2 linked regions of the Oreochromis niloticus genome follow. The protein of the gene in region 1 interacts with the protein of each later gene in a pairwise test. Links are inferred from orthologs where the notes say so. Each region holds a gene or a part of one and is shown on either strand. Other genes may lie near its edges.

Region 1 (16,146 bases):
GGCAGCAGAGCTGATTTGTTGCCTGCATGTCTTCAGTCTTTCAAGAAAAGCTCACGTAACGAATCTACTGGGCACTAAAATAAAAATAATACAGCTTCTTCCATGCTGATTTCAATGACTTCACCGTCATAAAAGAAATCGGAACCTTGATAATAACACAGTACGTGTTAAACTGAGGATCAAATTCACCACCAACAAAATCTAGAAAGAGGGAATTTGGAAGCTGGGATTTCTTCATCTCCTCTTTAGAGCCTGGGAGAATTATACATGGAGTTTTGTTGTGCAAGAGAGGAATACAGAGCAAGCTGCTCATGCAGGCACAAAGGAAGCTACTGTGGGAGCTTCCAGCAGTGGGGCTTTAACTCAGGGGGACCTAGGCCTCTCAACCAGGCTTTGAACTGGCTGAAAGTTTCCCAAGAGTTTGCCAGAGGGAAGCCAAGCTGAGAGAATCGGATGTGATTGCAAGTGCATGAGAGACAGCCTTATGTCATACAGAGAGAAAGGTTACCAATTTGAATCTGATCGTTTTCATACAAAGGATTACCAACTCTGACCCTAATCTGTTAAAAAAAAAAATGAGATAATGCTTTGTCATTTTTTAAGTGAGAAGTCTGACATTACATAATCTGTGTAAGCTTGCACAATGGGAAATGTCAGTCGGCTGTGAAACAGGTCTGGCAATCAGCAGTTTGGTTAAAATTTCAACGCCAAATAAGATGCAAGAAGCTGGAAGTCTGTGCACAGACTGATGAGTGTGCTGGTTTAAAAAAAAAAAAAAAGCTAAATTATTGAGAAAATTCAATTCAATTTTATTTATATAGCGCCAAATCACAACAAAAGTCGCCTCAAGGCGCTTTATATTGTATAGTAGATTGTACAATAATAAATACAGAGAAAAACCCATCATATGACCCCCTATGAGCAAGCACTTTGGCGACAGTGGGAAGGAAAAACTCCCTTTTAACAGGAAGAAACCTCCAGCAGAACCAGGCTCAGGGAGGGGCGGGGCCATCTGCTGCGACTGGTTGGGGTGAGAGAAGGAAAACAGGATGAAAGACATGCTGTGGAAGAGAGACAGAGATTAATAACAGATATGATTCGATGCAGAGAGGTCTATTAACACATAGTGAGTGAGAAAGGTGACTGGAAAGGAAAAACTCAATGCATCATGGGAATCCCCGGCAGCCTACGTCTATTGCAGCATAACTAAGGGAGGATTCAGGGTCACCTGGTCCAGCCCTAACTATATGCTTTACCAAAAAGGAAAGTTTTAAGCCTAATCTTGAAAGTAGAGATAGTGTCTGTCTCCCGAATCCAAACTGGAAGCTAGTTCCACAGAAGAGGGGCCTGAAAACTGAAGGCTCTCCCTCCCATTCTACTTTTAAATACTGTAGGAACAGCAAGTAGGCCTGCAGAGCGAGGGCGAAGTGCTCTAATAGGGTGATATGGTACTACAAGGTCATTAAGATAAGATGGGGCCTGATTATTTAAGACCTTGTATGTGAGGAGCAAGATTTTGAATTCAATTCTGGATTTAACAGGAAGCCAATGAAGGGAAGCCAAAACAGGAGAAATATGATCTCTCTTTCTAGTCCCTGTCAGGGCTCTTGCTGCAGCATTTTGGATTAGCTGAAGACTTTTCAGCGAGTTTTTAGGACATCCTGATAATAAAGAATCACAGTAGTCCAGCCTGGAAGTAATAAATGCATGAACTAGTTTTTCAGCGTCACTCTGAGACAGGATATTTCTAATTTTAGAGATGTTGCGCAAATGGAAGAAAGCAGTCTTACATATTTGTATAATATGTGCGCTGAAGGACATGTCCTGGTCAAAAATGACTCTAAGGTTCCTCACAGCGTTACTGGAGGCCAAGGTAATGCCATCCAGAGTAAGAATCTGCTTAGATACCATATTTCTAAGATTTTCAGGGCCGAGTACAATAACCTCAGTTTTATCTGAATTAAGAAGCAGAAAGTTAGCGGCCATCCAGCTCTTTATGTCTTTAAGACATTCCTGCAGGTTAACTAATTGATGTGTGTTATCTGGCTTCATGGATAGATAGAGCTGCGTGTCATCTGCATAGCAGTGAAAATTTATGCTATGTCTTCTAATGATGCTGCCTAGGGGAAGCATGTATAATGTAAACAGAATTGGTCCTAGCACCGAACCCTGTGGAACACCATAATTGATCTTAGTGTGTGAAGAGGACTCTCCATTTACATGTACAAATTGGAGTCTATTAGATAGATATGATACAAACCACTGCAGTGCAGTACCTGTAACACCTACAGCATGTTCTAATCGCTCTAATAGGATATTATGATCAACAGTATCAAACGCAGCACTAAGGTCTAGCAGGACAAGCACAGAGATGAGTCCACTGTCAGAGGCCATAAGAAGATCATTTGTAACCTTCACTAAAGCTGTTTCTGTGCTGTGATGAGCTCTGAAACCTGACTGAAACTCTTCAAATAAGAAAAGGAGCAGCAGAAACTGTGCTGTGAAAAAGGATCAGTGGCCACAAGATGAAACTAACTTAAAGGGATGTGATGGGCATACTGTGTGACATAATGGGTTTCACAGCTGCACTGCTAGGCTAATGAAGGGAACTTTGCAGTCATATTTCCATCAGTTTCCGTAATTAAACAGCACTGTGTCAAGGCCACTGTAGAGAGAAAGTAACACGGTAGAGCTGGGGTAATATTCTCAGAAAAACTCTGAATAATACAAACATTTACAAATAGTCAGAAAAATTGTGTTTTTGTCAAGGACCCACTTGCCTCACCTCATAAGGTTGGATCAGCATAGTCATAACACAATCATTTTATCATAATGTCATTTATAAAAATTTAGAATATGCCGGAAAAAAAACTGTTACACATTCCTTGAGATGTCTGTGGAAATCGTTAAATGTCTTTGTTTGACAAACAGTCCCAAACCTGAAAATATTAATGTAAGTACTGCCCACACAAATTTAAAAGATTAAATAGCACATAATCTCTCGCCTCAGTTACTTTATCCTATCACAGATATATCAGGATATTACAGATATCCTGCTAGTGGCATATAACACATATGTCCAATACCAGAGATAGCAAGAGAGCGATATGGCCCTCAAAGATCCATAAAAAAGGATTTTTAAAACCTTAGTTGGGGGATAATGTCAGCAAACAAAACTACACAAGTAGTTTTGATGTTCTGTGGTAACTTAAATGAAAGCTCATTTAGATAGTGCTTCAAAGTAACCGCCAAAATAATGGCCCAGAGGCGTTAATAAGATGCCCACGTACCAGACTTGCTCATAGAAGGACTTTGCCAAGCCCTGCTGATATGAACTCTTTTTTTTATGATGTGGAAAAAACTACTAGGGGTAATTTTGTGTCGTCATATAGTTTGTTCACTAACAAACATGCCGCAAAATGGCTCTAACCCCACTGCCAGCACTGTCTGCAGCACACCACCTCACCAGCATTCAGCCTGCTACAGTGCAGTCCTGGGATCCCTTTCACAGGTGATTTAGCCCCACTCTAACCTTGAATCATATGACCTGAATAGCAGACATGATGGTAGGGTGGGACTAATGCTGAGTCCCAGATCAAGTCGGAAGTCAAAATTTCTGAGTTCCCAGTTTAATCTGGAATGCCCCCTTAACTTGAATTTCCTACTCAGAAAGTCAAAGCAACCCCAACAATCAAGAATGAACAATACAAGATGGCAGCAGTTAATGTACAAGCAGTAAAACTGTAAAATTTTTAATCTGGACTGCCACCGTTGTATATTCATGACTCGCTAAACAAGCCATATGCAAAGCACTGAGTAGGCTCTATCCGTGCGTGTGCCACAGCTGTGTTTTTAAGTTACAACAAACAAATATGCTGTATCGCTAGTCATACATGAATGGCTCTACAATGCTAAAAACAAAAACAAATCCTGATTTTCTTGCTTTTCTGACTTTACTATTGGAACACACTAGCTAGGGAGTGAAGTCATTCTAGACTTCCAACTTCCAAGGTTATTGGAACATAGCTAAAATCTCCAAAATTCTTATTTAGACTGTAACCCATTCCAAAGCGGTTCATTTATGGTGTGAATGTGATCAGACCGCAATCAGAATTAAATACCAGGTATACGTTGTAAGTTTGAGCTACAGAAAAATTTCCCATAGCCACGTATGCTTTGCATTCTGGGATGCAGTAAGGTACTATAGAAGTGCAAAGGTATGTATAGGCTAGCAACTAGCAGTCAAATGAAAACTTAAATTCTACAGGTTCTCCAATAGGCCACAACACAGGACCCTTTTCCTGCATTTACTTTTGTTGCTCCCCTCTCTGGACACATCTGGCCAATAACATTCTCATCTGGTTTGTAGGGATGCATTTTAGTTCACTTGGATTTTTCTCTGTGTAAAAAGAAGTCAAATCACAGGGAAAAACTACAAGTTTGCAAACTCATCAACTGATTTGAATCAGAGTAAAAGAACCATTTGATGTGAAAACTAGGGGTTACATACCAGGGACTCTCCATAGGTTGTTATAGAACTAAAGAAGCGTCTTTCTTTCAAGAGGCTTCTTTACTTTGGTATGTGAACATGAAAACATGTTCACATACCAAAAGAACTCTATTTGCCTTCTTTCCAAGTACTTGAGACTAAAGCTCTAGTGGTGAATATTTTTGAATTATGTCCTACTTAGCTGTTCTCATACCACTGTACCAGGGGTTTACTTGGATCAGAAGAGGTGAAGTAATAACCTCCAACTTCAATGTTAAAATGATCGAATTTACAGAATTACAAGCAACATAAATCTTTCACAAAAACTGTAAGGGTGATATTGTTAAAAATGAGTTATCCATCTAGGATACTAGAGTTAAGAGTGACAGGTGCCCATGAAACCAAACTGGAGTCACTGATCACTGATACTTCTCCATCATGTCTGGAGCTCTTTTTTTTTAATGACTGACAAATATTTGACAAATGACATGGCTTTTTGTGTGTTACCGCCAGTTCATGAAGTCTGCGCATCAGTGTTGGTTAGATCTGATGCTTAACAGATATCGTGTCTGTATTACATGCCCTTAAAATCTACAGATGCATCTTGATAACAAAGCTATTTAGAGCTAGCTGTTAATTCAGTTCCAAAAAGCTCCAAATAACTAGCATTGGGAACATTGTTGAGGCTTAAAAAGCAGTGCCTGATGTTATGTTGCTATGTCCATCTTTTGGTGACTACACATGCACGCAACTATCAGTCAGTAGGTCAGTCAGAGGGTGCATACCGAGCATTGCTTTGTGCAGAAAAAAATCCCTGTGTGCTCTGGTGAGGGCATCCTGAGTAGCGACATATGGTGGGAAGGTGTGGAAACAGCTAAGCAAGTGGATCTTGCTTCCAGATTATGTCCCATATATTTACACCCACCCCACCCCCAACCCCCAAAACTCACACAATAAAACTAATACAAAAGGCTCCACACCAATTGAATACAATCAAACATGCACTCAGCCAATGAACACTAAAGGGGACCCATTACCTGACAGTGTTGTTTGTTGTGTACATTTTCACTCTGTGTATTCTACATGAGTCGAGTGAAAAATGACACCCAAGCCGACAAGCATTGGCAAGGGTGAGATCAAGGCTATGTCACAGCGAGCCCGCTACACCTGCGCTCCTTGACAGATCAGTGGCTGGGCTTGACTCCACCAAGGTGACACCATCCACCTGCTGAGCCATTAAGCTGCTCTACTGCCCTCAGGGGAGCTTGTAGTGTGTGGGTGTGTGTGGGCAAGAAATGGAGTGCAACATCAACACCACGTGGCAATCAAAACCATGTCATACTGATCGCAAAACCAAATAGGCAGCATTTCCACCTGAGCACCCAACCATTGTTGATCATGGGTGCTGACCCTGTGACCTCACGCTGAAAGACGGAGGGGATCCAAGAAGAGTATGTGTCTCTCAGAAATCAATAAAGGGAGGGGATTTGTTTGCCAGCTGATTGTGACACCTCAAAGGTGCACACTGTGAAAGGGGGGGGGGGGGTGTCTCTGAGAACACCAAAGATCAAGGAGCAGCTTTGTTAGGCGCACACACACAACAGCACAGAGTACAGTTGGCAAAGAGAGAGCCCTACAATGTGGGTTAGCAGAGTAATCCTTTAGCCCAGGGCAAAGATGTCAGTAGGCCAAGGCAACCTGCTCACAGTCCAGGGACTGAGCTGGTGTGTGCATGTGTGTGTGGCATTATTAATACAAAATACTGGAATTACTAATAAAGTGGAAAATATTCAAGATTAAAGTGTCAAAACTATAATAATCTTGAAGTTTATGTAGCAGTAATCACAGGAGCATATCCTTGTCTATCTTTAAGCTTACAGTAACAGAAGCTCTGCTGGACCTCCTAAAGCTCAGCCGATTAGGAAAACGAACAGACTGGTGGCTGCAATCGAAGCGAGCTTAGACTTAAGATATCGGACTCATCGCGCTTAACGCGCTGTTGCATTTTAAAAAAAAGCCACGACTCCTATTCCTAGAAACTGGTCTACATAATGCAGTAAAGCTGTCTGAATCTGCACCTACTGTGCGAGGAATACGAGAAACACTGCGTTTAAGCTCGCTTCACAATCCGGATGGCACGGTTTCCTTACCCCCCCCTCTTCCTCCAGGATCCACTGAATGTGCGTCCGTGAGAGCTTTTTATGTCCAACGCAGATGGTAAAATCCACGCTGTAAGTTTTGAACGCGGTGGTCCTCTTGCTCGCAGCTGAACCGCTCCCTCTCAGGTGGGACGTGGTTTGTCCGCGGCAGCCATTCAGACAAATGTGGGAAGCCGCGCACTGAGCTTTCTACTGGAACAATAAAGAGCAACACACACCGCCTCCAGCGCTCCGTGCGCCCCGGCACTGGTGGTGGTGGTGTCAGGGAAAGAAAGTGCAACTTGGGCGGCTCAGCAGCGCCATCGCACGGCCTGAGGAGGGTGTTGGCCATTGGTTTGTTTCTCACAATGAGCACTTTACAGCCTATTTAACTTAGTAGAGATTCAAATTATTCAGGTATAATGCCCCAGAAAGCAGACTATATCAGAATTATGAACAATAATGGCTATTTTATAGATATAATAGGAGTAAAGTAAACGTTGCTTAGATTAAAACGTTTGAATTTAGTATCAATATTGATGATAATACAAAATTACAGTGCATTATAAAGATAAAGTAATGTAGCCCTTATACATGCATGTTTGTGATTACATTTTTATTCTTATGTTTTGCTGCTAACACGTTTGGATGTTTACCTGAAAGTGTTACTAATATTACTTATTATTTATTTACTTTATTATTATATTTTTTTTTAGATAATTATTCCTTGTAATTAAGTATTTTGTGTTTATACAACGGCATATTAGCGCCAACGAAGGTAGGAAATAAATAGGAGGGGGAAAGAAAAAAACACACACACATTAAAGTGGCAAATTTATGAGAAAAGGGTAAAATCTTCAAGATCAAAGTACAAAATTTTTAATAAAAAGAGGAAATTACAGAATTACACCACTACTAGTAAGGACTACAGCACAATGGACAACTTCGTATCAATTTTTCACTTTAATCTGAGAATTTTTTACAACTTAATGTCGAAATTTTTGAGTTTTTTCTACCATTTCACATAATAGTGATGGTTTACGTTCCTTGTCCTTTTTTTATTAGGTTGAAAAAAATTATTTGTTATAATTACAGTTTTTTCTGATTGCTTAAGCACATTTTTTGTAACTATTGGCTATTTTTGCAAAACTCTACACACAAATAAGAAAACCTGTCACCCAATTATCAAAACATTGTAGTTCTCTTGCAAAAGCGAACACAGCTAGATTAACTCTTCACACCTTCGTAAAAATGGTGTTTTCGTATCAAACAGTACACACAAGCCATCATCTACTAAGCACACAATGCGCCAACTGCACACTGATGGTATGAATACAAAACACATCTGGCTTTTGCATTCTCTGAGTACAGATGTCAATTTGAGGTCACACTTTTGTCATAGTGTCATGTAAACATACAAGGATCCAAACTTCAAGTATTGGTGTTTATTCACACTCATCAAAACCAAGACAAAGTCAGAACACAAAATAGGAATTTCACAAAAAAAAGGAAAAAAAAAAAAGACAATCAGCCTACATCATGTCGTCTTTCTGGGTCCGGCCACAAAATTTCGTCCACATCGCATGCCATATCCTCCAGTCCAAGGCACCGGGGAAAATATCTCCTTGAATGCCGTATCCAGGCCTGACATGATGCCTGGTCAATATCTCCACATGCCTCCTCCATTGCCTGTAAAAGGGCTACCTGTTGATGAGGATGACGGTCGTACACTTTCCAGCGCCAGGCAGAGAAGAACTCCTCAATGGGATTTAAGAATGGAGAGTATGGAGGGAGGTTGAGTGCCATGAAGGATGGGTGGTCTGTAAACCAGTTGCGGACCAAAGCAGCCCTATGGAAACTAACATTGTCCCATATGATGACATATCGGGTCTGCTCTGGTCTCTGAACAGTGAGCATGTCATGCAAGGTGTCCAGGAATGCAATAATGTGTGCAGTGTTGTATGGGCCTATGGTTGCATGATGGTGAACAACACCATTTTGGCTTATAGCTGCACACATGGTTATGTTACCACCACGTTGTCCTGGGACATTGATGATGGCACGGTGTCCAATAATGTTCCTGCCACGTCTCCTGGTTTTACTGAGGTTAAAACCGGCCTCATCCACAAAAAGTAGCTCATGTCCCATTGCATCTGCTTCTAGTTCCATCACTCTCTGGACAAGACAAAACAAATGCAACACATCAGGCCCATGCACAGCACTACAGTATGCACTTCCAAATTCAGAACCAATGACACTAGCTTACCTGCACATAGTCATATCGCAGTTGCTTTACACGTTCTGTGTTTCTCTCGAAAGGAACTCTGTAAATTTGCTTCATTCTTATTCTGTGGCGCGCAAGTACACGACTTAGTGCAGAAATGCTTGCACTGTGTATATTTTGAAAGATGGTGTCATTATCAATTATGCGCTGCTGTATTTCGCGCAGTCTTATTGCATTATTGGCAATCACCATGTTCACTATATGGGTCTCTTGCTCTGGAGTGAACATGCTTCCTCTGCCCCCAACATCTGGACGTCTAGCAATTCTGTAAAGTAACAATTTCAGTATTTTTGCATGTATGGTACTGTTGTGTTTCTCATTAGAGTATGGCAGTGCTACAAAGTACTTACCGATTCTCATTTCGAAATGTCCTAATGATGCCTGCCACAGTGTAGCGGCTCAGTTTAGGCTGAACCCGTTGGCCAGCTTCCCTCAGGGTCATCCCATGGTTGATGACATGGTCCACTATTGTAGCTCTGATGTCATCAGTTATTCTGTTTCTTACTCTTCTTACCCTTCCTCTTTCCCCTCCTCGTCCTCTTCTTGCTCCTCCACGTCCTCTTCCTCCAACTTCTTCACCTCCACGTCCTCTTCCTCCAACTTCTTCACCTCCACGTCCTCTCCCTCAGCCTCCTCTGATTTTCACTCTTCTCACTCTTGCTGCTCCTTCCATTGTACTCCACATAGACAGCTTACCTGTTTATAGTGCTTAGGCTGATTGCAAAGTGGACTAATTATCTAAAACAGTTTTCACATGTGAAAGTGTGCCAGACAGTTGGCAAAATAGTGTTAATGATAGCCATACATGTGTATAATTTTGCTAGGAGTGTGTTGGAAATTTGGTAATTGAGTGTAAGCAGTGAGTTGTGTTTACAGTTCTGCAAAAAGAGTGTTGTGCAGTGAATTGTGCCTACAGTTTTGCAAAGTGTGTGTTACAAAATGGCAAACTGAGTGCAAAGCAGTGTTTGTGCTTTTAGTTTTGCAAACTCAGTGAGTGGTTTTGCTATAAGTATTAATAGTTTTAGAAATTGTGCTATAAGAATCACAGTTAGGGTTTAAGCATTCAGAAAAAAACTGTAAAATCAAATGGGTTTTTTCGAAAAACAAAAACAAAAAGACTGAACTGGCCCGTACGGGGATCGAACCCGCGACCTTGGCGTTATTAGCACCACGCTCTAACCAACTGAGCTAACCGGCCACGACACTGACGGGCAGAACAAATGTTTTTATACTTGTACTATATGTACTGCTCACGAAAGCTGTATAAACTGGTTGAACAAGCTCACCGACATTCTTGTGGTCGGTTTTCTCTTTCACCTTTTGCACTTGTCGCATTCCACGACAACCGATAAAAGCAAATACTAATTCTACGAGGCGAAAAGAAAACCTCAGCCTCACGTCTTTCTTTGCTACGAAGCAGCATCAGCAAGGTCTGTTACCATAGTTACGAGAGAGCGAGAGAGCCACAGAGAGAGAGAAAGCGAGAGGGAGAGAGGGTGAGACTGATCACGTGACCCAGCAAGATGGCGTCTATAATGTAGAATGGGGATGTGAGTACCACGTCTTATTGGCTAACCTTTAGGCTACTAAAACCAGCGCATGTTCTCACATTGTTGGGAGCCGTATTTGTTGCACTTTTATTTTACTACGAAGCAAATGCTTTTTCTTCACAGTGTAACTTTAAAAGAAAAGGGTCCACCAGCGCCGCCCTATCCTCCAGGACAGCCTACCAACTAAAGTGAATCCGCTAACGTTAGCTTTCTTATATATCGTGGTTATCAGTTATTGTGGCTGATTACTCAGCTGGTTTTACTCTGACCCTGGTAGCTCACCTCCAGCTGCGGCTGCACTCTCTCACCTTGTTCCGCTTGTGTCCTCTTCTCTTTCAGGATTTAAACTGAGAGGGTGGAAATTTGGATCTGCTGCCTAATTGTTCATCATCATTATTATCTTAGAATCAAGATGGCTCTAAATGTCTTTGGTAAGCAGCATCTCACAGTACACGATTGTCACCGGAATGTCTTATGGATTTATGAGTGGTGTGTTAATTTGTTTATGATTAACTTCCAATCTATTGTTTAAAACTGTTGTTTAAAAATGAAAAGAGGCCAGTCGTCGTATTCACAGAAGTTTCAAATAGTAGACATGATTTAATGAAGAAAAATCCAGATCCTTTAAATAAGGAAAACTAGTATTGCATTATTGCTGATGTGCTCCTGGTACCGGTAATAAACAGTCTAGATGTGAAGGCTAGCTCTAAATATAGATAGTATATTAATGATATCATAGCCAAAAGTGGCTCAGTTTGTAGTTATAATTCTTTATAGCGTCTCTCATGGACTCCAGGACACTTTGTTTTTAATTATGGTTTTTTTGTTTGTTTGTTTGTTTACTTTTTTTTAACAAGCTGTACTGTCTACCAGCTTTTGCAATCAAAAGTATGATCTGAATGCATTGTTGTGCAAAATATATTTTGCTTTTCCAAGACAAGCTCTGTAAATTCTCTATAGGCTTCTCATGTTCGTCTTTCTCGTTTTCTTTTTTTCTTTTTATTTATTCATTTTTATTATGACTCACAGAATATATGCAATATAAATATGTCAAATCTGACAGGCAGCAAAAAAAAAAGAAAGGGGGAGAAAATAGGAGAAGATATAATAAAAGGACAGGACACAAGAAGAAAAGCGCAATGGGTCGCCACCTGCTGCACCTGTAAGAACAATGGTTTGTTAATACAGATCCTGTACTTAGCAAAATAGCAATGCATCAGTGTAGATATGTATTCCCATTATAAGTAAAATTTCCTTCAAAAGTAAAAGTCATTGTTCAGTGGTTTTATATATATATTTATAACTGCAATATATATATATATATTTTATCATTATTGCTGATGTGCCCCTGTTAGCTGTAATAAACAGCCAAGCTCTCAGTGTTGTAGCTAGCTCTACATATTGATAGTATTTTAATGATATGATATATAATATCATAGCCATCAGTGGTTTCACTTTATTTTATTTTATTTTTCGTTCCTTTCAGGACATCACACACTCTGCTAACAGCCCCGTATTTGAAATGTGACTTTGTTAAGAGGTCATAAGCCTTTAATCTTTAGCAACCCATTGTATTTTAAAGTTTGCTTTTTTAATGTAAATATATGAGACAATTTACTGTAACCCTTATTTTCTGAGTGTAGCAAAGGGCCAAGTGTTTCATACGTGTGTAATGAAAAAGGAAAAGTACCCATTTGTTGTTGCAGATGCTGGGAGTGTGAACAGTCTGTGTGTTTTGTCTGGGTTCTTGTTAGTTTGTGTATCTTTGAGCCTGTGTTGCCTCAAGAAATGGAGGGTGAGACGATTGCCCGGGGAGGATTTGGAGTTATTTTGAAGACAGGATACCGAGACGACAAGTGTTGAATAGATAAGGCTTGTAGAGTGGCCTCTGTACACAAGGACAGGAAGCGGACTGTTAGTTTTACCCATGCAAAGAAGACGGAATACATTTCTGAATTTGCCAGATGCTGACAAAAATATATTTTCGAGACCTGGGTTAAAGAGGACCTTTTGTGCTGATTTCCAGTTTTATATTTCTGGTCTTGGATTCACTAAAGTAGCTTTGCATGGTCTACTGTTTAAAATAAGCTTTATTTATCTTATAATTTGCCTTCACACAGGCCCTGAACAGCTATCTAAAACTCTCCACTTTCTGCTGATTGGCTTTGTTCAAAAACAGCAGGTATCTCCTCTCGCTGACATCACACATCAGCCGAAAAACTCAAACACTGTGTTCAGAGCAGTCCAAAGCCTGAGTCTTTGGCTCACAGGGATTACTGTGCACATACTGACCTCATAATTTAAACTCTGTAGCAGCTGTAACTGTATATATGTGACACAAAATAGGGGTCCACTTTAAGTATTTTAATTTAGTTTTTCAGATGTTCAGTGTAGGATTTCTTAATTATTTTCACATACTATATTTTTTATATGTTTGTTTCCACTCTTTTTGTACATAAAATCTGATTGACTGTTCAAAGCAGTATGTGGAATATTACCTGCTATACTGCAGAAGTTCTTTGATATAAGACAGTTTTGCTGAGCAAATGAGAAAACTACTTTTCTCTGAGTGCTTTGAAACAAAGCTAACTAAGTTAAGCATTACTAACTATGGAATCATCAAAAGCAAGATTTAGATAGCACTGTGAAAATGACAATTTATAAATCACATCTCACATTTCACAGCATGAGTCAGATGAGCTGTATCTTTAATGATTTGTATACAATGGCCAGTAGCTCAGTTGAAAATTACTATGCTTATTTTGTTTGTCTTGCTTTTGAGTTGTCTGTATGTTTTTGTGCTTGTGTGTAAATGTATAGTTACATTTACATGTATGCATATAGGCATTCTGCTACTGTAAATAACCTTATAAAATATTTATTTGTAGAAAGTGTAGGTTCGTAAGATTTTCTTCTTCCTGCATCTCTTTGTTCGCCTTGGTGTATGTGAGGATGTTTTTATAGGCTAACTCAAGCCAGACACAAGGACAGGACTGAAAATGAGTGAAGAAGCAGCCAGTGTCCAAAGGAAAACTTTGAAAAAGCTTCAGAAATCCTGGAGAACCAGATGAAAAGATGAGGAGTAACTCAAAACTTTTGCTCAGTGCTGTGAATACGCACAAAATGCCAAACTCAGAGCAGAATAAGATATAAACAAAGCAAATAGAAACTGCAGTATAATGAAGTATCAAAAAGCAAGACATCATTCATTGCGACTACGTGACTGATTCTTCTCTAAAAACCTGTTTTATGCTTTACGGCAGCGGTCCCCAACCTTTTTTGCGCCACGGACCGGTTTATGCCCGACAATATTTTCACGGACCGGCAATGAGGTGTCGCGGATGAATACAACAAAATAAAACTAGTGCCGGTACCGAAAAAAAGAAGATTTATTCATAACACACGTGAAAAGACCCAGGAAAACCGAGTTAACGATAAAAACGATAACAAAATAACGTTGAAAACCGATAAAAACCCTGAAAACCATACATTTCACACCTGAGCCTCAACTCTCGCGGCCCGGTACCAAACGACTCACGGACCGGTACCGGTCCGAGGCCCGGGGGTTGGGGACCGCTGCTTTACGGCACTTAAAGGAACAAACAAACAGCATGTCGTAGTGACTGATGACGCCTTTGTCATGCTTATGTAACAAGACTCACTTTGTCCCAGTACAAGTGGAAGTGTTAAATCTCATTTCTGTTGGGAATTGAGGTCATTGCAGCAACAACACATGCAATAGATGTAAAGTGCAGAATTTAAATGTGTACCTTGGGATTTTACAGGCGCCACAATGGGTGTCTTTGAGTAGAAATGCTCAGCAGCTCCTCAAGAGTTCACCCAGACTCCAAACCAGCGCCTGGGGCCAAAAGTGTTTCGGTTTTAATCACATTCGCTAATACTACTGTCAGTGTTGTTTATGGTCTGTTACAACCGAATAAAACTACAGGGGAACGCTGCCACAATGTTGATATCCATTTACAATTAATTTCACACGGGTCGGCCTGAGGAAGGGAGGGGGGCTGACAGTAAAAGCTAGTGTGAGTGTAACAAAGATAAACACTGCACAGCTCATTTAAAAGCAACCACGGCATAAATGAATCTTTCACAGCATTTTATGCTCCACGGAGTAGATTTATTCATTAAGCCACTTAGTCACCATTTATGCTCTGTGTGGTTTCTGCTGTGGAAAAAGACTTAATCCATCAATCTGATGTCCCAAGGTAATTGCATACAGACTAGAAAATAAAGCAGTCATGCTGTCAGTGTTGGAGTGTAGATTTCTGTGTTTGTTTGGCTTGTTTGCTTCAGCAGTTTCAAGGCTTAGCTTTGAAATTCATGTGAGTGCCCTAAAATCGTAATGCTCTTCCCTGATGTGATTGTAAAACATTTTATTTTTGTCTGTACGTTAGGCTTCCCCTTTCTTTATGCTGGTCTAATGTCAAAGAGATGATGAATTGATCAATATATCCGCATTCTGATGCAGTCGTATGTTTAATGGATTAAAATTAAAATTTAGACAGCTGTTGCGTCACTGTCATGTTTTCTCCACATGGGGGTGCTGCTTCAAAGGAATTAAATGAGAGCTTTCTGTGTCCTCAGATCATGATGAATACAGGCCACCAGTGTGGAAATCCTACTGTAAGTATCAATATACCTTTTGTTTTTTGTTTTTTTCAAACATTCCTAAATATTTTGTCCTCTTTGTTTTCAATGATTGTTTCATGATTTTATAACATGGCCTGTTTTCTGTCACAGTGTATCAGCTCCAGCAGGAGGCACCTCACCCACGCAGAGTCACCTGCACCTCTGAGGTGAGAGCACATGTCCTAATTATCAGCCAGCACATTCTAGCACGTCTCATATTTTGAAATCCGCTTTTTATCTGTGTGATGTTGCAGTGAAAAAACATTAATAGATCTACTAGATAGACACGAGGCTTTGCTCAAGTTCTTATCCTCATTGAACTAGTCTTCAAATGCAAAAATAGTTTCTCTTCTCTAACATGTTTTCCACGGTCAGCTCAACAAGACTGTCACACTTGGACCAAAGTTGTCAATTTTATTGCATTTTTCACTTGCAGTATTTTGTGGTGATGTTTCTCAATCCCTTTATCTGGATAAACCTTTGCTTCTTTAAAAGTTAAAGTTTATGCAAGTGAGATTTTGAATGTTAATATAGCAGCAGAAAATCTAGTCAATCTAGTCAAAGTCAGTGTATGCTACAATGTGAGTGTTGGATATAGGTTGCTCTAGTTGTAGTGGTGTTCTTCATGCAGCTGATGGGATAGCACTTAACTAAAACAGGCTTCCGATAAATGACATACTACATGGACTTAATTATGGGCCCAGCCTTTGGCTCTTAGGACACCTGGGGGGGAATTTAGCAATGAGCTGGGCTGCAGTCCACTGGAAGCAGCTGAGCTCCAACGCGACATCTAGTGGTTCTGCATGTATATAGCATGTGAAGCGGGTGATGAAGTCTACATGTGTACTTGTTGTACTTGCTCTTACTTCAGAAAACTGCTTCTTTCCATGATTTGGTAAGAATCCTCTGTTCTGTTAAAAGTTTTAGAGAGTATGGGCATGTGCCATAATGGATTTTTCAAGTGAAATCTACTGAAATCGTGCAAAGGACTTCAGCTATAAGTTTGAGACCCCTTTACCCTGAATCTCTAGCATCAGC
Region 2 (15,820 bases), on another chromosome or scaffold:
AATGAATGGATAACAAGAAAATGCTGAACAAACAAAAGAATAAAAAGTAATACAAAATACAAAACTATGACAACCAGCTTATTGTATATTAACCTGATCACCAGCTTCACCCTGTTACAACTGGTTTCAAAGTTTTTAGAGTAGCTAGTTCCTTTTTAATGGATGTCTTCATCAGACTCCAGTGATTTTCTTTTTGGTGACTCGAAGTTTCCCCTGTTGCTCATACTCCAGAGTATGCAGCAAAAGAGAGACAGCCTAACCTGCAGGTGACTCATGATGATGACTTTCCTGCTTTTTTCCTCACAGTCCTTGGATGAAAGTTAGTCTTTACTAAAACTGTCTGTCCTTCAGGGCTGAATTTTATTTAATAAAATAAAAAAATAAAAATGTGTAGCAGTCGCACCTGTCTACAATGTCTTCATGGCAAAAGTCAATCAGACCATATTATTTGGATTAAATCATTCATGTTGTTGGTCAAAACAAATTATTTTACGTATAATGTATTCTAGTTCGTACATATCAGAAAGTTGTTAAATCACCAATTAGGTAGACCCTGTTAGTACTGGTTTGGACCCTCTTTTGCCTTCAAAACTGCTTTCATGTCATTTGCACTAAAATCTGATCCTCTGTTGCAGCAGAAATTGAGATCAGACCAGGCAACATTATTCCAATCTTCTGTTGTCCAAATTTTGGTGAGCCTGTGTAAATTGTAGCCTCAGGTTCTTGTTCTTAGCTAATAGGAGTGGCACCCGATGCTTTGTCTTCTGCTGCTGTAGGCCATATACTTCAAGATTTGGCATGTTGTGCTTTCATTAATGCTTCTCTGAATACCTTGGTTGTACTGACTGGTTATTTGAGTTACTGTAGCCCTCTTATCAGCTCAAAGCTGTCTGGCCATTTTCTTCTTACCTCTGGGATTAGTAAGGCCTTTCTGCACAGAGAAGTACCGCTCACTGAATATTTTCTCTTTTTTGGGACCATTCCCTGTAAACACTAGAGATGGTTGTGTAGGAAAATCCCAGTAAATCAGCAGTTTCTGAAATATTCAGACCAGCAACAACCATGATACATTCAAAGTCACTTAAGTCACCTTTCTTCCCCAATCTGATGCTTGCTGTGAACTTTGGCAGGTCTACAAAAGTCTCAGTACAAGTCTGCAATTAGTTGCTGCCACGTGATTAGCTAATTAGATATTTGTGTGATCTTATTAGCAGCTGAACCGGTGTGCTTCTTAAGGTGAGTGTATATGGTAGTGTAAAAAGTACTTGCAAACATGAAATTCAAGTCATCCTGTTAAATAAAAGTACATGAAATTATTATTAAAAACTTATTGATGGCGGGTGTAATTTCAAAGCATTTTATTTCATATATTTTCTTCACAGTCTGATAACATCAGACTGTACACCTGCTTGTTCCAGGGCTTCACTCCCAAGATTAATTTTACTGCCGCTAAGTTACATTAAAAAGTCTTTACTATTTTGTAAGCAGTTATAAATAATATGCTTCATCACCTACTAATCTGAAGGTCAGTGATTCTTCCATTCGACATATTTAAATATCCTTGGGTAAAACAATGAACCCAAACTGCCCCTGATCTGTGTGTGAATGGGTGGATGTATCTTGCAGTAAGAAACGCTCTCAGTGCTTCCGTTAGAGCAGAAATGCAGCATATAAATTAAAGTACAAATTCAAATACATGCCAGTGTGTTTCAGTTATGTTTTTTGCATTCCAACAAATTATAGCAACAGTTTTATATATATAATGCTAATAATATTGCATTAACTAACTGCAAAGGGATCTTCAACCCTCCAGGAATGGGAAGAATCAGCTAAAGGGTATGTGGCAGTGCAATCTGTTTTTATGTTGGAATGTTATTTGTGCAGTAAAAATGAGATGAATTTGGGGTTATAAGTAGAGTCAAAGCAATAAAGATAGTAAAATATGTATGAAGTATGAAACCTACATAAATACATATTTTTAGCCTTTTTTCCATTTAATGAATGGATTGTATAGCCACATAATGAGTTTGATATCCAATGTTTCAAGTTTGTTTTTTTTAACAAAACTAAGCTAAGAAAACTGCAAAATGCTACTCATTATTTTCTCAGTTAATTGAAGAAACCTCCTTCTCTTGTTCAAGGCATCTTTGGCTGCTTAGGCACTGCTGTACCCTTCTGCCCCATCACTTCCAGCACACGACAATATTGGGATCGTTTTCCAAACGTTCGTCAAGCTCCTGGTAAGTAATCCCTGTAAAATCAGGATATTGTAAGCACACTTGTTTCACACCATCAGTTCTTAAGTTTTGTCCAACAATCAAAGAAGGCTTCAAACCCTGCCTGTTTTGCAGCAGATCTCATCGTAACTATGACAACCGGTATAGAGTCGAGGAGGCCTGCTTCTCTCATCGCGGATCACCTTCACGGGATACTTCTGCAGCCGTCGAATAAGACACTTCATTAGTCCAAACTGGATCAGCCTCCTGAGGAGAAACAAGTGACGTGACACACATACAGTATGAGCCAGTGCCACTCTGACCTGAATTCATAGGAGCGCTAAGTCTTTTCAGGAACTGATAATTTGAGCGACGCTAACCTCTCGTCGACCCTTTGAAGCTGCTGTGAGTAGCGTGAGCAAAGGTCTCGCACTGTTGTTCCCGGACTTAGCCCACAATACAGCTGGAACACATCTCTTAGACTCGCGCGTTTCTGACCTGACAGTGACAGGGCAAAGCTGCACAGTTAACGTCACAAAATAAATGAAGATTAACACTTGTGTTTTAATGGACATGACCCCAACTAACCCTGCTTAGTGACGTAGTTAAGGCACTCCTCCTGAATGGACTTGTCATCTATGAGGCTCTGGACTTTTGGGGTGGTGCAGTACACATTAGAGTACTAGAGAAAGACAAGAAGGCAACCAGAACAAGTCATCAGGAAGTATTAGCCACTTTTAAATAACTTTAATTTTTTCACAGCAGAATATCAGAAAACTAGAGCCTTCCCTCACTTAAAAAACCTGCCCTAACATTTTGTATTCAAAGTGGCGCATAGAGAGCAATGTGCAGTATATAAATTGACTTTCTTTTGAAATACATGAACCCATTTATCAGAATGGCCTTCAGAACTGATGCTTGCTTTACGGTTATTATTTCTGCACAAAAAGATCCACTTTCACAAAAACAGAAAAAAAAAAAAAACATTTCCAGAATAAAGAAGGAATAATATGAAAAAAAATTACAACTTTTCAATTAAAACTAACATCCCGCAGACGGCCCTAATGGTCCCTGATAAACTGTTCCACTACACTCATATATGTGTGATGTGATGTGAGATTAGTTTAATACCTGGAAAATTGACACCAGAGTCACAACACCATAGTACCTGTGAAGTTAAAAAGAGAAGTAATTACATCTTTTTGAAGTGTATTTTGACTACAGAGTGAAAATGCAAGTACACCCCCTCATTCGGTAGCTTGAAAAACCACCTTTAGCTGCAATAACTTCAGCTTATCGTTGCCTCTATGACTTTATCAGTCTCTCGCGTCATTGTGTTATAATGTTTCCATTCACTGAGGTTTGTGGGCATTTATTTATGCACAGCTCTCTGAAGGTCCCACAACAGCACTTCAATCAGGTTTGGACTTTGACTGGTGATTGCAACATCCTGATTCTTTTATTTTTCAGTCATTCTGTTGCAGATTTGCTGCTGTGCTTTGGATCATTGTCCTGTCAGATAACCCAGTTTTGGCCAAGCTTTACAGTAGCTTTGGGACAGATGGCCTCACATTTGAGTCTGGAATATTTTGGGATACACAGGAGTTCATGGTTGACTCAATGACTGCAAGGTCACCAGATTCTGTGGCTGCAAAGTCCAAAACATCACCCCTCTACCACTGTGCTTGACAGCTGGTGTGAGGTGTTTGTGCTGATATGCCGTGTTTGGTTTTTGCCAAACAGCGCTGTGCATTCTGGTTAAATGTCAACACTTTTGGTCTCATCTTTCTAAAGGACATTGTTTCAGAAGTCTTGTGGTTTGTTCAGATCCAACTTTGCAAACCTACACTGTGCCGCCATGTTCTTTTTACAGAGAAGAAGCTACCTCCTGGCAGTCCTTCCAAACAAGCCATACTTCTTCAGTCTTTTTCTAATTGTGCTGTCACGAACTTTAACATGCCAACTGAGCTCTTGTGTGTGTGTGTGTGTGTGTGTGTGTGTGTGTGTGTGTGTGTGTGTGTGTGTGTGTGTTTAAGGTTTCTCTGAGTACTGTACGGCCTGACCTTGAAGTGAATCTGCTGGGATGTTAACCTACAAGAGGTCCTGGGAAGATTGTGGGATTGTGTTAGCACCCACCTGAATGGTCCAGAGCAGGAAACTATTAAAACTTCTGCATTTACAGAGGTGTTCACACTTGGTTTATCAGTTAATCAAAACAACGACATAAAACAGAGTTCTGTGATGAAGCAGTACGTGTGTGAGGTTACTGAAGAGTACAACTGTATTTGCTGAAAAATACTTACAGGAGATTCTGCACTGCGATACGAACAAGATTCAGCTCAACGTCTGCTTCAGCAGAAATTTTCTGGATGTGTCTAAATCCATCGATGTAGGGAAGAATCTGCAGTTAGCAGCAAATAGATAAGGGTTAGAGGCACGTAGTGCTATTTGCATTACTGGTTAACTAAATGCTGTAAACATGTTAACTTATAAAAGCAATAAAACAGTATTGTACCAATAAAGAGCATCTTGTCTTGCACTAATGCCTTCTTTCAAATCATAAAACAAAGGATATAAAAACGTGCTTATATCACTTCCAGCACAGCTGATAACAAGTGTTTAAACACTGATCTTTCTTCCAAGCACTTCTTAGAGTGCTATCAAATACCTCTCAAGAGCTGCAGCCAGAGGTTGTTGACATTGAAAGCCTACCTGTTGAGTGGTGAGATCCCACTGAGACTTGATAAAATGATCTTTGCACTGGGTAAAGACTGGCACGTCGTACTCCTGAACTATTGGGGGGTCTTTTCGCAGCTGGATCAGCTTTAGATGAATGGTGTTAGACTCATCTTAAAAAGGATACAACAAACAAGAGTAAGAGCGGTTTAAAAAAAAATCGTTTGATGACATCTGTTGCTGCCAACCAACATGTGAATACTGCCTATGTGCAGCTGGTAAATTCTTAAAATAAAATTTGACTCAGAAACATCAGCCTGCATTTCCCATCTCTGAATTTCTAAAAAGAGTAACAGTCAGAGCAAAGCTGCTTGCATAGTGGCACTGCTTTGTCTTGACTTACATTAACTAATCAATCCAAACAACCACATAATTTCACTTTGGACCATAGCCCAGGCAGCATGTTGGTTGGCTGATAAGGGCTTATCAGAGATATTGGAAAACTTGTTGTTAGGGAACATAATGCATAACAAAGCTCTCCTCAGTGGAAAGTGTGTGCTGTCCTACTGCCTGGATGTCTGCCACGCAGGGGCAACTACTAAAACCAGGAAGGCTATGCAGAAGGTAATTAATACTGCCCCCAAAATAAGTGGCTGCTCTCTGCCACTCCTGGAGATCCTCTTGTCTCAGGAAAACAAGGGCCATCACAGGTGACCCTTTGTGTCCCGCCACCCCTGTTTGACCCGCTGCCCTCTGGTCGGAACCTCCAGTAAATCAGGTCCCCCACCTCCAGACAAACAGTTTCTTCCCCTGGGTCATTCGGACTGTTGACAAACACAACCCCACCCCTGCCCTCCCACCCACCAACCAACCAACCAATCTGAGCCATGGCCTGAGTAAGCCTCATCAGCTTTTATCTTGTCCTGTATATATTTCTCCTGCTTGTTATTTATTCCTACTGTCTTACTATTTCTATTCTATTCCGGCACAGTTGGTGTGGATGACTCACAATTTAGTTGTACATGTATAATGAACATAATGGGCTATTCTATTCTATCCTATTCTATTCTAGATGCTTGAGTTCATTTAGAAATGCTGTAATGACATGATTTGTCTAGTAGAGCAGCTGCAGCTCTATAGTTTATGATCCTTTCAGTATGATCTGCAGCACAGTAACAGAGCACATGCCACAGTATTACTAAGTACATGGACATTATTACAGTTTTGGGCTTTTAAAGATTTCTCTGAGCTTTTCTTTTTCTAGGGTGGAATGGACATACAGCAGGCATCCTTAATGTACTTAAAAAATGCATGTTGTATTTACTCTAGTTATTGTCTAATATTAATATGTATTTGATGGAGTACCAAAAGGTTGATTCTGTTCATCTGGATGTAGCGTTTTTAATGGGAAAAACGTTTCGTCACTCATCTAAGTGACTTCTTCAGTCTCAGCTGACTGCAGGTTTCCCCAACCTTATAAACAGTACATTTGCACAATAACTGAAACCAGCCCACTGAATGAACAATGGGCTTGAGGTCAGTTCCTTGATCATTAATATGCAAATTGCCCATTGATCAACAACCACTGATCAAAGCCCATTGATCAAAGACCTGCGGTCAGCTGAGACTGAAGAAGTCACTTGGATGAATGACGAAACATTTCTTCCATTGAAAACGCTACATCCAGATGAACAGAATCAACCTTTTGGGATTTACTTACCTGGATGATTGAGCATGCATCAAGACATATTTGATGGAGTAATCAACTTTACCCGGATAACAGCTTTAAGTCTCTGCAGCGTCTGTATGTACTGATTTTTAATTACACAACATCATATTTGCGTTAATCTAGCTATAAAAGTAGACGGTAGGAGGTCGAAGCACATTTGAACTTTGGACCTCCACAGCCTGAAACCCACAGACTGTACAGGATTCAGTTATAAACGCTGTGTACATTTTGTATTTACTCAGGTCTTTAGTCTTTGTCTACAATTAAAATTTATTTTATGATCTAAAACATGTAAATGTGACAAATCAGGAAGGGAGCAAGTACTTTTTTACAGTACTGTAGCTCAGTCTTGGTCTCATCTGTCGATAAAACCTTTCTCCAGAAGGCATTTGGCTTATCTGTGTGGGCAGCTGTCAACTATGGAGCAGGGGTTTCTTTCTTGGTCGGCACCTATTTATGGCTGCTTTGAGCCTTGGTGGTTCCTGGGCTGTTCCTGAAAATCCTAACCAATTTCCTCTCATGTGATGTTGACAATCTTCCAGACTTCAGCAGAGTGTTGACACATCAGAATACATTGTACTTACATGTAGTTGTTTAAACAGATTATCTTGGAATCTGCAGTCAAACTTGTGGAAGGGAAATCTATAATTTCCCTTCCTATACCCATTGTTCTGAGTATTAGCCAATCTAATGGGTGATGTCAAACAAGCGTTTTTATGCTGGAAAAGAGAAAGTACCAGGAAAATCATGTAAAACGTGTAAATCATGATCACTAACAAGAAGTTAGTCTCGGAGAGTTAAAAGACATTGTAGAAACTTCAGCACCACTTATTAAAAGATTTAAGTGAATGTGTATATTTGAGTCTGTATGTATACTTCTGACCCTGTGTGGATTAGAGAAAATCCAAAATAAATTCTAATTCTTGTTTTTTTTAAGTCATTAAAGATTTAAAATAATTCCACCCCGGAAAAAAGAACAGTTCAACGAAACAGTCCAAAATTACCATGACATTCATGCCCATGATGAATGTGTGTAAACGTGTGACCACAGCTATATATTAAAAAGATATACTGCTCCTTGCCACAGATAAAACTTATAGCCAGTAAGATGCCAAATAATACCAATGGGTAGGCTGCAGGCTCCTGTGGCATTAAGATCCTCTAACAAAGTCGACATAATGGGTAAAAGCTTCTGTTTGCTCTCCTCATTGGATATAAAGCCGCTCTCCAGCTGCAACACAACAAGACAGAAAATCTCTAAGAAATCATCCTGAAGAAAGCGATCACATGAACATGTGAAAATATGATACTCTTTACCTCCAGAGTTGTAAGGTACCCAGATAGCTTCTTAACAATAGGCTCCAGGCCGCAAGTATTGGTCTGGGCATCGCAAACAAGGCCGAGGTTAAACAGGAGGGCATTTCGGCTATATTTCTTATGTTCGATGCACACGGGGCAGCCAATTAACTTTTTTCCCATTGCAGTGCTATGATTAAAAAAAGAGAGATTGGTTTATTAAGTTAATACACTATTATTTAAATACTAAGGACTTCAAACAAGGCAGGGAGACAGACGAGCAGGATAAGACTACATACACTGTTATTAATTTGTTTTGTAGCTCTGGCTTGGTGATGATATAAACCTGAACGGTGTCAAAGAGCTCCCGTGAGATGTACTCTTCTGGAACCTGTTAGGACACAGTATGACAAACTATACCCAATAAGATACATGAGCTCAGACGGATTATGCAGAGTACACGTCAATGCCAAATTACTATGAAGGATTAAATACCTGCCTCACACGTTTAAAACACACCCAGGGCACGAACAAGCTCGCAACTGGGGCAGTTATAAAGACAATCATAACGACAGTGGATATATAAAAAAAATAAAATAAAATAAAACTACTTTACCAGACCATCTGCACACTTACCTGATATGTTATCTTGGGTCCCAGAGTAGGGTGAAACTCACTGAAAAATATACACTCTATTCGAGTGGGCATGCCCATCATAGATTTTATCCTCATGGAGAACTAATCCAGAGGTGTGTAAACCCTGCTGAGCCCTATCAACTTGCCCCAAATTGCGTTAACAAGGTATCTCCTGTGTGTTTCCTCTGGGTCTTCCCAGTTTATTTACAGCAGCATGAGCTAGCATGTAGCTTTAACGTTTAAAAACAAGCTAGCGACGTCCTTCGGTACTTAAAAGCAGGTCTAAAGTTAAAAGACGCCCTATAAAATCTGTTATTAATGTATTAAGCAGAGGTTATGGTCACCCAGGCATCAAACTATTCAATAACTCGACACATCAATGCATGCAAAAACCAGACAGGGAAGAACAACAATAATATCGCGTTCAGGGACACCCAGTAACTTAGCCCTGGAATAAAAACTGCCGTTGCAAAAACTGTAAAGGCAACAATAAGACAGAGGAAGTCGTATGTATGTAGCACCAATAATGTTTTAAAATTAATATAAAAGTAACACGAACTCTGTTGTCGTATAAAAACGCTTTAAAGTATTGGGCCCCGAACAATTGCACAACACTAAGGAAATTTTCTCTTTTAGACAATTTAAAGGTTTCGAATAGTAGTATTTACCAAATGTAATACTACTTTTATTACTTGCTAATGACTTTTACATTTATAGATGCTATTTTACCATCTTACTTTACAGACTTAACGTCTATGACGGCAATGCTTTATATGTTTTACAGTCCGTGAAAGCAACGTCGTTCAGTAGCGTCAGCGCTGCGCAGACTGCGCCGCAGCCGCTCTCTGTGCCGCGTGCAGGACACATTTCGAGCCCCGCTAGTTAGCTTTCCGACACAGAAAAATGTTTGAATTTCATACAGGGCCGTAAAGTGTAGCATGTTGATCTAACCGACTACTGCCGCCATGCAGCGAGTTCAGCCCGAGAGCGCACAGACTCCGGAAACCCAATGAATAACGATGTAAAGACTTAATACTGTTAACCATGTGGACAAGGTCGCTGAGTACAAGCTACTACAGATGTTTTGGGTGCAGGAGTGGTGGACCAAAGGTAACTGGTCAAGTTATTTTTTTGACTTTTTTTCCCGGAAGTCGACACGTTGCGTCCAACGTGTTGAACAAACAAAAGCATGTCAGTGTCACGGCTTTAAAAACCAACCAACAGTCCAAACCTGTTTCCGTTGCCTTGCTAACTGGAAATATTACTCACATTACAAACTGACGCACCTGTAAGCACAGACCAAGTTACATGACTTTCTTGAACTGTTTATCAGTTGATTTCCATTGACGCAACTGGACCAAATCTGTTTTCTGTTATCTTCTTTTTAATAAAATAAAGTGGCAGGCACACACATTACAGAGGCAGCAGAGCTCAGACTGACTCAAGCCTTTAGGAAACTTCAGGAAAACATTCCTGCTGTTCTCGATAAAGCTTTACAAAAGCTCTCCTGCTTGTTGACAGGTGAACACACCTGTCTGCATTCCTCAGACTTATCAGTATCAAACCTTCCTGCTGCTTGCTGTCTGCTGGATTTGAAATTGTACTTGCTATTTATTGAAGCCGTTTGCACTATTATATGCTAGTATAATTTATTGTTTGCACAATCCCAGCCTTATTTTGTATTTATTTGTCTTTCTTTTGCTTCATTTTTTTTTAAATCACTGTTGCATATAAAATTTTGCACTACTTCACATTATAAGGCCTTTATTATGAGCCTGTGGTACTTTCAAGCAATTTTATTGTAGGTTATAGTTCTTTATGCTCCTGCTATCACATAGTAATTTCCCCTGCAGGATCAGTAAAGTGATGATCAGTAAAGTATCTATCTATCTATCTATCTATCTATCTATCATGACACATATCTTATACCCTATACTAAATAAATACTATATAAGCTTAAATAACTCAAATAAATAAATAAAAGGATTATTGTCCATATACATACAGTAACTAATAATAACAGTTCTCTCTTACTGGATTACATTAAACTGTGTGGAGATGTAGTAATGTAAGTTAACTTGACTTACAGATTCCCTATTAACCCCGCGGTTATAGGGAGGAAGTGAAAATTAATTATGACTTGTCAGTCAGACACATGTTATGAGTAATTGTGAGTGGTGTAAATAAATCATGATGATTTCCAAAGTTGCCGGAAATTCCCCAGAGGAGATGCTGAATGGGAGTCTAACATCAGTGTTAAAAAAACGCAGTTGGTTTCTGGATACTTGGAAATTTTATTTAAACTTTAATGTAACGGGTGCCAGTTTGGCTCCCTGGTTGAGCTGGTGAACATGTGCCATATGGTTCGGAACTCAGCAGCCTGGGTTTGAGTTCAACCCTCAGCCCTTTACTGCGTGCCTTCCCTCGTCCTTTCTCCCTTCTTTCCTTTCTACTCCTCACTGCTTCACTATCAAAATAAAGGCAATAATGCTCGCTATAAAAATAAATCCTAAGTGTAATGCTTTTAGGTACTTTGGAGGTCCCATGCTGTCCGTACATGCAGCGCTCCAGCCTTACCCGCAGGCAGGATTACACCACTTCAGGCGGTGAACTTATGGAAGAGGCACTTTGAGGAGAGAGCTGTGACGGAGCCTGAGCTGTCCAGCCAGTACATCATTGCTCATCTTCTCGGAGCTAAAACTGTAATTTGCTGAATCTACATTGCCTCAGCACTTGCACTGACATGCAGTAAACGTGGATCAAGTTCACATAGCGTTTCTTTATCCAGATAGAAAGTCTTGAGCAGGAGAGATTAACAGAGTTTCTCAGCCGAGAACAAACAGAGCAGATATGGAAGCTCTGCACCAGACGTCTCTCCAGGTGAGTTTGTGCATAGATCTCTCTATATGCATTTAAATGATTTTCAATGAAAATTTTTACATGGTTTCATGTGTGGGTTAGGATGCCCGTGCAGTACGTGATTGAAGAGTGGGACTTCAGGGACCTGACGCTGAAGATGAGGCCTCCTGTGTTCATACCACGACCTGAAACGGAGGTAGAAGAAAAGTCGAGGCAGCGCATGTTCACAGTGAAGACCCAGCGAATGATCACACATAAGCCAAAATGTGATTTTTATTTCGTCTTTGCTGATGCAGGAGTTGGTCGAGCTGGTGCTCAATGATCTGCAGATGAAGACTGAGATGGGCGTGCCTGATAAGATGGAGCCTACGTGCCTGGAAGTGGGATGTGGGTCTGGTGCCATTTCTCTTAGCCTGCTGAAGACACTGCCTCAGGTAGAAATTTGTGTTATAAGTTTTCAGATGAGTGGAATTCCAATAAGGCACACCACAGGAAAAAGGCTGTTTAACTTATTAATGAATTCCCCCTCACTTTGGGTCTTAATACACTGACAATGAGTCAAATTTTTCATTACTCCAGTGAAATTTATGCAGTGTATTGAGGTTTCTCATTGGTTGTGATATAACCACTGGTTGCTAGGGAAAAATGTGTATTCCCCCAACTGGTTCTCAGTTCTTCCTGGAGATTTCTACCCTCACTGGGTGAAATTGGTTGCATGGAAGCGCCAAGTTATTGCTGTGGTTGCTTTAGAGATTGCCGTTGTTGCCCTTCAGGCGTAAAATTTAAATTATATTTTCAAATGAAATAAAATAAGACATATATGAAGTCTAGACTAAGGCATAAAAATGTACCTTTACTCTGTTTTCTTGGAAAGCTTTCTGACATTAAAAGGAGGCAAGTTTTTGTGCTGCTAAATCCAGACGTTATGATAGTGTCGATTTTAATAATTAATATTAATTATAATTCAGTGTTCCACCTAACAACCCTCAGGTCAGTGGATCAGAGTTTAATGGCCCGTGTGCATTTTTATTGGCTTGTGAAAAAAGCTTTCATTTTTATTTTTTTTAAATATTTTTGCAATTTAATTAGCAAAGTATGTGATATTATTGCAGGTATCAAATGCCGTCAGCCTTCAGCACGCTGTATAATTGAACCAGTCTGGTATCAGACTAAGTTAACAGTTCATCTGCATATTGTAATACAACTTCTGGAGGCTTTCTGATTTTGACTGTGTAAAACTTATTGCAAATTCAAGAGTGGAGAATAGATTTATAGTTTGTCACATTAATATAGTGAATCCTGTCCAACACTACTATTGATATCAATAAATATGTTCTTTAGAACGTCCACTGACATTTCTAAGTGTGCTACTGGAAAGCACACAAATGTAAAATTATCCATGCATCCATCCATTTTCCCCTACTTATCCTTGTCAGGATCACGGGGAGGCTGGAGTCTATTCCAGCTGCCATAGGGCGAGAGGTGGGATACACCCTGGACAGGTTGCCAGACTGTCACAGGACTAACACTGGCAACACTAACCATTCCCACTCACATTCACACCTATGAGCAGTTTAGAATCACCAATTAACCTAACCCCACTAACTGCATGTGTTTATATTGTGGGAGAAAACCAGAGTACCCGGAAAGAACCATCCTCGACAGTAGGAGGAAAAATCGTCATCAAAGAAAATGGGCAAAACAGAAGCTCCACTCCCTTTAAAATATACATGTCCACTCTTGCCTGTTTATTTATTCTCTCTCTCTTTTTCTCCCTTTCTCTCCCTCTCAATGCTCCTCTCTGAGACTTTGTGCTGTCACCCAAAAGTTGAATGTAACAGTGAAACAGAGTTTGCAAAGCAATAAAAGGCATAAACTGATCCATGTTTATAACAATATTCAGACTGAATACGGGCTGCTACGGGACATAGACTTCCTTTTGACTTGCTCTCAGTTGGATCTGGAGCTGTAGTGTAGACAAACAATGAAGCGCAGAACAGGAATAGACATCTATAACAAACTAAAATAATAAACTACATCAGCCCCTTTTGCTGGCAGCTAGCGATATACCAGCAGACTAATGGCTCAGAAAGCTAAAATTAGCTAATAATCTTGAGTGATTTAGGCTACATTAGCTAACGTTTTTGACGCTATTTAGAGAACAAATAAAAATAAGCGGACACTTTCTAAGTCACAACATCGCCCCTGCATTATCAGAACAGTTTGCACTTTTGCTATATTTCAGTTAAAGTGTGTTTTAAATCTGCATCACTCATTTGTGTTATGAAATTGCCTCTCCATCTTCTTTCTGCTGCAGCAACGACAGACTTATTTAGTCCTTTAATGACAAACTGCCCTGCTGAGGCAGTAACGCCTCTGTGTGAGCGCACTGTGACATCATGACACCAACAACGCTGGGCAGTTTTAGAGGAGTTAGCAAAATATAGCGTTAGAAGACAATGCCAGAAAATAATATTAAAATGTATTATCATTACTACTATTATTATAGTTATTTTTAGGGATGCTGTGATGAAATATATCTATTGTAGGACTGTTTTTAGTCGCAAATGAGGGGGAAACACTTGCGTTTACATCGTTTAACACATGCTTCAGAGCCAAGCGTTAAATGAAGCATTGAATTATTCGCACTAGTTTATAGACAGGTCTGTCACTACCATTCAAACTATGATCACAGCAACATGCTGTAACACAAAGCGATCACAATGAGTTTTGTGACAACCAGTCAGAGAATACATGTTTTTCCCTAGCAACAGGTGGTTGTCAGGGGGTCAGAGTCCGGTCTTTAGGCATGTGTGGCTGCAGCTTTAACAATTATTTTCCCAGCGACTGCCATCAGCCTTCAGCAACCACTTGCAATCGGTCAGGGTAAACTCATTATTCCTCCATGACCCGGAGGTTGCCAGATGGTCACTGACAGGTCTTTAAGCCTGTGTGACCGGGGCCTTATTCGCTTGATCCTACACTGTCACCATGACAGTCCAAATAAGCTAACAACTGAATGTCTGGCAGTTAGTGGTCATGTCTGCAAAATCTCAAGACCCATATTTTTTTTGTTCCTCATTAACATCTGTCAGATGAGGTTGTGTTTTGAACATCTGTGATTTTGATCAGGATCCTCTTTGCAATCAGTAACGTTGTGTACAGACGTTCATGTTCTCTTCAGGAAGTTGTGACATTTCCTGTAGCACCAAGCATTTTCAAAACTAATCCCATATAACAAGCAAATGTCAGCTTGTTTAGATGCTGAACATGATGCATCAGTTCGAGAAAAATTACAAATTATGAAAAACAACAATGTAAGTTGGTGGGCAGTCATGTGTTATGAGAACAGTTTCAATCCTGGCATTAATTCTCTAAGTTGAATAAATTCCTCTGGAGGAATGGAACACCATGCTCACCTCGGTCAGGTACTGACAGGGGTGAATGTCATGGCCTTATTATACACTCAAACTGCTGTTTGAGCTTTTCGATCCATAGCCATTGGAAAGTGTTGCTCACTACTATTGTCAGCTTAAGTCTAAATAGATGATTGTTACTCTTGCCTTAACCTAACAGTGAGCATAGATACAAAGGCTGCAGCTTTTTATGTGTCATTGAGTTATTCTAAAGAATATTTGACAGTGGATTCTTTAGGCTGAGCTAATTGAGTGTTTTTTCGAGGCTTGTGATGACCGTATGTCAAGTTTCATTTTTTAATGAATTTATTTATTTACTATTAATAGATTATAACAGTGAAGGACCGGACAACCACAGCGTTACAGTTTGTTAAGTGTCTTTTTTATTTACAGAGTTAAGGTGCAGCTTTCCAGCTGCGTCGCTCTGCGCAGCACACACCGCTCTCTCGTCCGGTCCTCCTGAAATAGGGAAGGCATGACCCGGTGATGGAGAACAGCTGTGTGGGTCAACCTCCCCTGACACAACACCCTGAAGCCCCTGCTCCCCCCTCCCCTGTAGCCGAGCCACATCGATTAACAGTGAAAAAAAAAATCAATAGGATAACCGATATGATAAATCATTAGTTATAGATTTCCAGTTGATAAGCTGCTATCCTCACATCACATGTACATCTTCTCACCTCAGCTGATCAAACATGCACTCCAGTTATACTGTGTTTGCATATTTTAGACTCTCCTCTGTTAGCAGATTGTAAAGTAGTAAAAATGTCCAAATTTTCCCGTGCATACAAATACAGGAAAACAGAGAAAACGTCTGCGTAAAGTTAGCTCTTGTGTTTTGTTTTCCAGCTTAAAGGCGTCGCCCTGGATCAGAGCCAGGATGCCGTGGATTTAACAAGAGAGAACGCACTAAGGTAATTGCAGCATAACCCATGAAAACTATGTTGTAAATGTCCTTTAGCACTGATTTATTTTTATTATAAAGATTACAT

Evidence for each region.
Region 2: the proteins of N-chimaerin (region 1) and hemk1 interact in binary tests that used the Homo sapiens proteins (3 or more experiments, as listed by UniProt). The two-hybrid records come from large-scale screens. The link is inferred for Oreochromis niloticus from reciprocal best matches to the Homo sapiens genes CHN1 and HEMK1.

Annotation. Positions count from the first base shown.
Region 1 is NC_031986.2:15,941,846-15,957,991, forward strand, and holds the start of N-chimaerin, read left to right. Parts: upstream 1-10,203; 5' UTR 10,204-10,461; intron 10,462-10,471; exon of another isoform or gene 10,472-10,663; intron 10,664-10,800; 5' UTR 10,801-10,873; coding exon 10,874-10,892; intron 10,893-15,063; coding exon 15,064-15,102; intron 15,103-15,219; coding exon 15,220-15,275; intron 15,276-16,146. Other genes in the region: uncharacterized protein LOC109196774, read right to left, coding at 8,155-8,802, 8,894-9,176, 9,262-9,353. UniProt on the Homo sapiens protein: GTPase-activating protein for p21-rac and a phorbol ester receptor. Involved in the assembly of neuronal locomotor circuits as a direct effector of EPHA4 in axon guidance.
Region 2 is NC_031970.2:17,676,901-17,692,720, forward strand, and holds the start of hemk1 (MTRF1L release factor glutamine methyltransferase), read left to right. Parts: upstream 1-9,391; 5' UTR 9,392-9,597; coding exon 9,598-9,663; intron 9,664-9,839; exon of another isoform or gene 9,840-10,026; intron 10,027-11,081; coding exon 11,082-11,255; intron 11,256-11,341; coding exon 11,342-11,433; intron 11,434-11,514; coding exon 11,515-11,608; intron 11,609-11,708; coding exon 11,709-11,846; intron 11,847-15,677; coding exon 15,678-15,742; intron 15,743-15,820. Other genes in the region: GATOR1 complex protein NPRL2, read right to left, coding at 2,184-2,251, 2,341-2,483, 2,597-2,714, 2,805-2,898, 3,348-3,384, 4,520-4,617, 4,929-5,065, 7,744-7,852 and 3 more. UniProt on the Homo sapiens protein: N5-glutamine methyltransferase responsible for the methylation of the glutamine residue in the universally conserved GGQ motif of the mitochondrial translation release factors MTRF1, MTRF1L, MRPL58/ICT1 and MTRFR.